2 linked regions of the Elephas maximus indicus genome follow. The protein of the gene in region 1 interacts with the protein of each later gene in a pairwise test. Links are inferred from orthologs where the notes say so. Each region holds a gene or a part of one and is shown on either strand. Other genes may lie near its edges.

Region 1 (3,749 bases):
GAGTGATTCTTAAATACTTCTTGTCAGAAAGAAAGATGATGTGAAGAATGAACAAAAATAGCTCTGTTCAACAGCTGTGATATCTATAATTTATCAGCTGTGATCATCTCTCAGCAGATTGTCTTGGTGTCTAAAGAAGAATGAAAGTGTATTTTCCATTTGTATATGAAGTACTTCAAAGAAAACAAACTTCTCTTATACCTATTTTTTCTTAGCCATACATTTCTCTTTACATACAAGCAGCGTGCTAAGGGACCTCATGTTTGAAGAATGTGAGCTTAGACTCTATTGACACATACGGTGTTATAAATGTTTAATTAAAAACAAACAAACGAACAAAAAACCAAACCCGGTACAACCCCATGTGTTACAGAGTAAAACTGCTCCATAGGGTTTTCTTGGCTGTAATCTTTATGGAAGCAGATCACCAGGCCTTTCTTCTGTGAGGCTGCTAGGTGGGTTTGAACTCCAACTTCTAAGTTAGTAGTCAAGCACTAACTTTTGCACCACTCAGCTACCTAAATGTTCATCTAATCTTTAATAATTTGTCCCTAAACAGTAAATAATCTTGTTAAGTACTGAAAGGTATGACCACATTAAGGAAAGAAGGAAATAATTTCACTGCCAAATTGTCAGTCTTTAACACTCTGCCTGGGTGTCATGCCTCTAGTTTCCACTTACTATTTTTCTTTCACTTCTATCTTTATCATATTTATTATTTCTTTGATTTGGGCCATTTTATTGCCCTTGCTCTTCACAATTCCTCTTTGCCTCTTAGGTACTTTACTTTCTATGCTTATTACATTCAGTTTTCATTTCTTTCACTCTTTTTCCTTTGTACAGCTCTGTCACATACTAGTATTTTTGTACTACAGATTTACCTGAGCATGTGCTGAAGTACAACCGAGCAAACACTGTGACTTTGATTTATTGGAAAACTTTGTGCAAATTAGTTAAAATTGAGAGCTCTGGAGAAGAGGGTCTCTTCCATCTACACGGCAAAATAACTGGGAATTATAAAATATGTAAAGAACAATTAAGGAAAGCATAGAATTGGGTTCTGTATGTACCACGGCCAATCAAAAAACAGCCAGGTCCTGTCTCGAGAAACTTCCTTTAGCTCTCCTCAGACTGCCGTTTGATCAAGGTCCTTCCCACCACCCTCCCTGGACTTTCCGCACACCCACAGCGTATGTATATATCTATGTGTATCGATGGCACTAGTTTTTTTTTTTTTATTTTTTATATACCCATAGATATATATTTTTTACATCCCTTCCTGCTACTTTCACGTTTTTCCATTTCCGAAGATTCTTCCCAAATCTCACCTTCGCACTGTCACCGCCTTCAGTTTTCCTCATAAGGGGTTCCCGGGCCGTGTCCCTTTATCCCCCTCCTCGCAGCACCTGCCTGTTTTTGACCCTATTTCGGACTTCCCACACCTGGCTCGGGACCCCTCCCTCAAATCCTCCTGAGACGCCGCGTTCACTCCTGGCCCGGGCCCACGACCTCGCCGCCTCGCCGCCTCGCCGCCTCGGGCCCCGCACACAGACGTCTCTCACGCGCGGGCGCGGGAGCGTCCGCCTCCCCACACGTCCTCTCTACGGTGCGAGCGCCCGGCTCGCCGCCCGTTTCGCGTTTCCCACCTCGGCCAGGCCCCTCCTCTTCGCCACCTCCCGTCCTCCCGGGACCCGCGCCCGCACCGGTCACCGCCGCCTGCGCCCCTCGGCGTCTCCCGACTCGGCCCCCGCCCTCCGCAGGTCCCGCTGCACTGTGGGTAGGCGGCAGCGGCGGCGTCCGCGTCCGCGTCCGCACTGAGGAGCCGCCGGCCGCACCGGGCTGCGGGCGCCGAAGATGGCTGAGAAGCAGAAGCACGATGGGCGGGTGAAGATCGGACACTACGTGCTCGGGGACACGCTGGGCGTCGGCACCTTCGGCAAAGTGAAGAGTTGAGTATGCGCTCGAGGCCGCCGCGCGGGGCTGCCCGAGGCGCTGGAGGTCGGGCCGAGCCGGGAGAACCGCGGGAACCGCTGGAGCCCCGGGCCGCGGGAGGACGGGCGGGCGGGCGGACGGGCGGGGTGCAGGGCCTGGCGGCAGGTGGAGCGGCCCGGGGCCGCGCGGAGCTTGGTGGCTCCGGGAAGGGGTCGGGCGAAGAGGAGCGAGGGTGTGGGTGCAGGGGACATTTGACCCGGGTTCCTGGTACGGTGCCGATTTCACTTTCCAGTGGTCTGGAGCAAGGCACTTCTCACTTCCCCGGACCTCAGTTTCCTCGCCTGTAAAAATGGGAGACTGGAATAATACATCTTACTGATTACTGAGTTTCTTTTACGGGCCAGATGCCCTGTTAGGTGCTTTTAGTGTGATCTTTAATCCCAATTTGGTGAAGATATCTTCACTGCAAAGGTGAGAAAACTGGGATCCGTGGAGGTTTAGTAACATGCCCAAGGTCACACAAATTGGCAGAACCAGGATGAAGTCTAAGATGTCTTCCAATTCTGGCATTGCTGGGAGTTCCCTGCCATTCCTAGATTCTTTAATGCTGAGTCTCAGTTGGTGGGGCTGGAGGTTTAGCGGATGCTCCAGGGGCCAGGAGGTGGGTAGGTCTTTTTGCTGGCTATGTGAAATGCTGGAATACCGCTGGATTAAGTCATGGGTTAATTAGAAATGGGAGATTGGTTGGTGTTTGTCAAAGGAAGGTTTCTGGGATGGGGAAAAGGAATAAGGTTTGTTGGTACTGAACTTTTGAAGATTTGGGCTCAGAGGGGCAAACCTGCCAAGGCATATACTGCTGACGTCTGTTTTCTTGATGATAGGATCCCATTTTGGGGCTACTTTTGGAATTTTCTACTTCTTAACTAGTTATGTATAAACACCCCCCCCCCCCATAAGAGTCACTTGGGCTTTACTTAACATGTCTTCTCTCCAGAACTAGAGCCAGTTTATTAAAAGTATTTTCTGTTTGATTGTTGAAGGGTTGACTTTTTGTTTGTTTGTTTCTTCTGTAGAAAATGTTAGGTAGATAGTTTGGACATTTTATTCTGAGGTCTCTATTTTCTTCTAAAATCATGCTTTAGCTTCAAGTCCAGACCGTTGAATAGGTAGAAGAGACTCATTGTTCCCAAATTCCTGTGGTAAGGATCAGTTTCTATTTACTTTTCCATTTTTTAATGTCCATTCATTTGTTCAGAAAGCAGTTAATGAGCACCTACAGTGTGCTAGGCACTGTTCTAGGTAATGGAAATACAGCAAGGAACAAAATCAGGAAGGCAAACAATAATCAAAATATATGTAAAATATATAGTATGTTTAGATTGTAGTAAGTGTTATTGAGAAAAATGAAGTAAGGTAGGGAGAATAGGGAGTTTTGTGAGGTGTGCAATTTTCAATAAGGAGGTTAGGAAGGGGCTCACAAAGTGATATTTGTGTAAAGACCTTAAGAAGGTTGCGAGCTTCTCTGAAGTACCATGAAGGCTATAAAGTCCTGAATTACCTTTGAAAAACCTCATAGAGTAGATAGAATATGTTTAGAATGAATATAGGAAGATCAGATGTTGGATTAATACCTGTAACGTTAACTTGTTATTATCATTATCGAGGACTATTGTATTACAACATCATGCAGTTACTCAAACAAACAATGCCTTTGCCATCTGGACGTGTACACTCTGGAAATTATATAACTTACTCCTTGTCCTTTTAAATTGTTAAATTTTTTTTTTTTTTTTTAATTTTCTCCACTGTAATCTGAA
Region 2 (3,749 bases), on another chromosome or scaffold:
TGTCTCCAGGGACCCCCCTAGAACAGATCCAGTGAAGAGTTTGTGCCATGAGAGAATGGGACACATGCCACTACGAAGCAGGTTGGGTCAGTTCACAGTGTTCTAGGCTACTGGACAGACATTAAGACTTTGTAGCTCCCCCCCTCCTTTTTTTATTTTAACTTGGTAAAATGTGTTGGGAAATACGTGGGTTATTTCTGAAGGTCTTTAGCCAAAATGGAATGAAAATTGGAAACTGATGGACCCGTGAGGATCCCTCAAGCCCTCCTCTAATTTTTAATCTAAATTTTAATAGGCCCATGCAGATTATGTAGAAAATAGCGTGGCTGCTATAGGAAAGCACAAGATATGACAGGTAACAGCATTAGGGTAAAACAGGTACATTTAAACAGCACAGCCGTTCAAGGAGTGTGAACAGGCATATAACCTTAAAAACGATGTGACACCTGACCCTACTGGGCTGTAATGAATGTTCATAATGCACTCAGTCAAGGAAAGTTATATTTTGTAAAATGTACTTGTTGTTTGTAGTTGAGTCTCAGGGACACTGTATGACAGAGTACAACTGCCTCATAAGGGTCCTTGGCTGTAATCTTTAGGGAAACGGATCGCCAGGTCTTGGAGCCTCTGGTAGGTTTGAACCACTTATCTTCCCATTAGCAGCTGAGCGCTTAATAATTGCTCACCAGGGCTCCTTAACTTGCATTTAGAGAATCTATAAAAGCTGCAAAGATTTCTGTTCCAAGATGCATTAAAAAGGAAACGGTAGAATCTGTTTCACGATGGAAGTGATAGCTGTCCAATTACAGGAATCACATCCTTTCTAGGAATTTCTCCTGGAAAAAAAAAAAAAAACTCAAATCCTGTGTTGGGAATTCCAAAAATTTCCCAGGTCAAACGCCTGCCTGTACCCTGCACCTGGGGCACAATCCGGCCTGCTACCTTCTCTCAGCTCTTCCCTGGTCTCGCCTCAAGAGGCTTTTATTTCAAATGTTTAAGACCAACGATAGCGACGGTGTTACACTTGTGCCAATAGAGGGCGGTTAACGGCACTCTGTGACTGTATCTGCGGGGCTCTGAAGTGGCCGATCGTACTAGGAGCAGCCGGATTCGCCGCCTTGGAGAGCCTACAACGAGCGTGGTCAGGAAGAGCCGCCCTCTCAGCGCAGCTTCAGCTCTGGCGCCACCGCCCGGTAGGTCCCAGGATCCTGAGCGGCCCGAGTCGTGGAGCCACTCCGCGCATGCGCTCTCGCGCGGTGTCCGCGCGCGAGCTGGGCAGTCTCGCTCGTCGTGAAGTTGCGGTGGCAACGGTGTTTTCCCGCGCTTTTTCTTGGCGCCTCAGGGTAAGTATTTTTATTTGTATTATTATTATTACTGTAATCACTATCATTATTCTTTATTCTTTTTAGCGCGGTAAGGCAGGCTAAGAATCCCAGAGTGAAGTTTTTGTTGGTCTAAAAACTTGCCTCTGGATATCTTGGGCAGCCCACTAAATTGACTCCTTTCTTCACTTTGTGGAAATCTTGGAATTAGCTGTACATCTTGCTCTGCCAGAGAAAGGACTCAATTTCAAGACTGTCCCCAGCTCTTCTGTGTCCCCTTTGCCTGTTACCCTTCCGGAGGTAAAGTAAGCCTGATAACTCCCGCTGCCAGGTGCCACATACCAATGAAGACTCACCCAGAGAGGACACGGGATAAAGGTGTCAGGGTGTCCTTGTTGACCCCTATATCTGAGGCAACTGACAGAATTTGTCAGTTGATAAATGAGAACATTTGGTGTATAATTGGTTTGTCACGATTTTATACGGAGTATGAAGTATATGACTTGTTTTGGTAGGTCCAGAATATTGCTGCCCTGTTAGGGTTAGTATAATTCTAATGGGAGTGGCCACTATACTGAAAAGTAACTTAAAAAATAGTATTTATTTATTTTTACAAACGCTTTCATTAGAAGCATAGCATTGACTAGTGTTCATATTAACAGGTGAATTGTGATGATAAGAACATCACCTGCTTTTCTGAAGGCTTTCAGGCTTCATAATGGCCAATTACTTGGATGAAGCAGATTAGTTTTCATCTACTTCTAGCAGGCTGCTACTCTTTTTTTTTTAACAAGGCAACACGTGAAGAATCTGAGAAATCATAGCAAATATGGAAAACCTAAAAATGTAGCTTAAAATACTTGACACTAACGAATGGCTGAAATCAGTGCCTAGACTTTTATATCTGTCAAGTGTGAGATGTACTAAAACAATCTAGCAAACCATGAATGGATAATAAATTTGGATTTTTGTTTAGGTACTGAGGAAGGGCAAAAATCACTGATTTAGTTTTTACTTGTTTGTACCAACAAGTTCCTAAAGTTTATTTCTGTGCACACATTTTCAATCTTAGTAAATTAGATTAGAAACCACCTGTATTTGTTTAAAAAATTTTTTTTCATGGTCTTTGCAATGGTTTGCACAATAAAGGAACACAGCTAATATCTTTGAGTGACTGAAATCAATATGATTATAATAAAATACAAATACATAATAAAATGTAATAACTACATTGCATATTTCATTTAAAAAATTTATGGACTTGCTTCTTTATTTTCATTGCAATTTGTCCTATTCAGCCTTCTTATTTATCCCTATTAGAATTCTTTTCAGCGTCTGGAGACCTTATTCTTCCATTATGTCTTTGTGTGAAGACATGCTGCTTTGTAATTATCGGAAGTGTCGCCTTAAACTCTCTGGTTATGCGTGGGTCACTGCCTGCTCTCACATCTTCTGTGATCAGCATGGCAGTGGAGAGTTTAGTCGTTCACCAGCTATCTGCCCTGCCTGCAACAGTACCCTTTCTGGAAAGCTAGATATTGTCCGCACAGAACTCAGTCCATCAGAGGAATATAAGGCCATGGTGTTGGCAGGACTGCGACCAGAGATTGTATTGGACATTAGCTCCCGAGCGCTGGCCTTCTGGACATATCAGGTTAGTGCTTAGGTATCTCTGGAGAGTATGACTTGAGGCATATGTGGGCGCTTTCAGTGTTTTCCTTCACTGTTGTTTTATGAATGTATGAAAAACTTTCTTTTTTTTTTTAATTAATTTTTATTAAGCTTCAAGTGAACATTTACCATTCCAATCAGTCTGTCACATGTAGGTTTACATACATCATACTCCCTTCTCCCACTTGCTCTCCCCCTATTGAGTCAGCCCTTTCAGAAAAACTTTCTTTTTAATAAATTGTTTTCTTTTTTACAAAGTTGTATGTTGTTGAAAATCGAAAAGGAAGAAAAATTTAAAAACCAACCATAATTCCATCACTTAGAGATAACCGTGTTAATATTTTTGTGTATTACTTGACTTTTTCTCTGCATATATATATATTTATGTGCAAAAATAGGATAATACCACACATTGTTTTTATGGCCAGTTAAAGTTAATATATCTATTATGAATATTGTATTAAAAATTTAGGCTAAATATTCTGTAATCATCATTTTTATGGTTGCATTGTATCATGATTTGTTTCCAAGCTATAAAAAAAGTTGTGAAGAATGTTCTTATAGTCAAATTGACATCCTTAATTATTTGTTAAGATTAAATTCCTAAAAGTGGATAAAAACATTTTAAAGTTTTCATAAATTACAGTATGTTTTCCAATTGTCCTTCAATAAGGCTTTATCAATTAGTGTTCCCTCAAAAAGCATATGAGACTCTAAGGGGACTTCTAAGGCAATTGGCAAAATACTTCTGTTATG

What was found. The genes of interacting proteins can lie anywhere in the genome.
Region 2: the proteins of PRKAA2 (region 1) and CCNB1IP1 interact in binary tests that used the Homo sapiens proteins (3 or more experiments, as listed by UniProt). The two-hybrid records come from large-scale screens. The link is inferred for Elephas maximus indicus from reciprocal best matches to the Homo sapiens genes PRKAA2 and CCNB1IP1.

What each region holds. Positions count from the first base shown.
Region 1 is NC_064821.1:100,488,325-100,492,073, forward strand, and holds the start of PRKAA2 (5'-AMP-activated protein kinase catalytic subunit alpha-2), read left to right. Parts: upstream 1-1,537; 5' UTR 1,538-1,854; coding exon 1,855-1,948; intron 1,949-3,749. UniProt on the Homo sapiens protein: Catalytic subunit of AMP-activated protein kinase (AMPK), an energy sensor protein kinase that plays a key role in regulating cellular energy metabolism.
Region 2 is NC_064828.1:30,473,511-30,477,259, reverse strand, and holds the start of CCNB1IP1 (E3 ubiquitin-protein ligase CCNB1IP1), read left to right. Parts: upstream 1-1,315; 5' UTR 1,316-1,343; intron 1,344-2,642; 5' UTR 2,643-2,679; coding exon 2,680-2,976; intron 2,977-3,749. UniProt on the Homo sapiens protein: Ubiquitin E3 ligase that acts as a limiting factor for crossing-over during meiosis: required during zygonema to limit the colocalization of RNF212 with MutS-gamma-associated recombination sites and thereby establish early differentiation of crossover and non-crossover sites.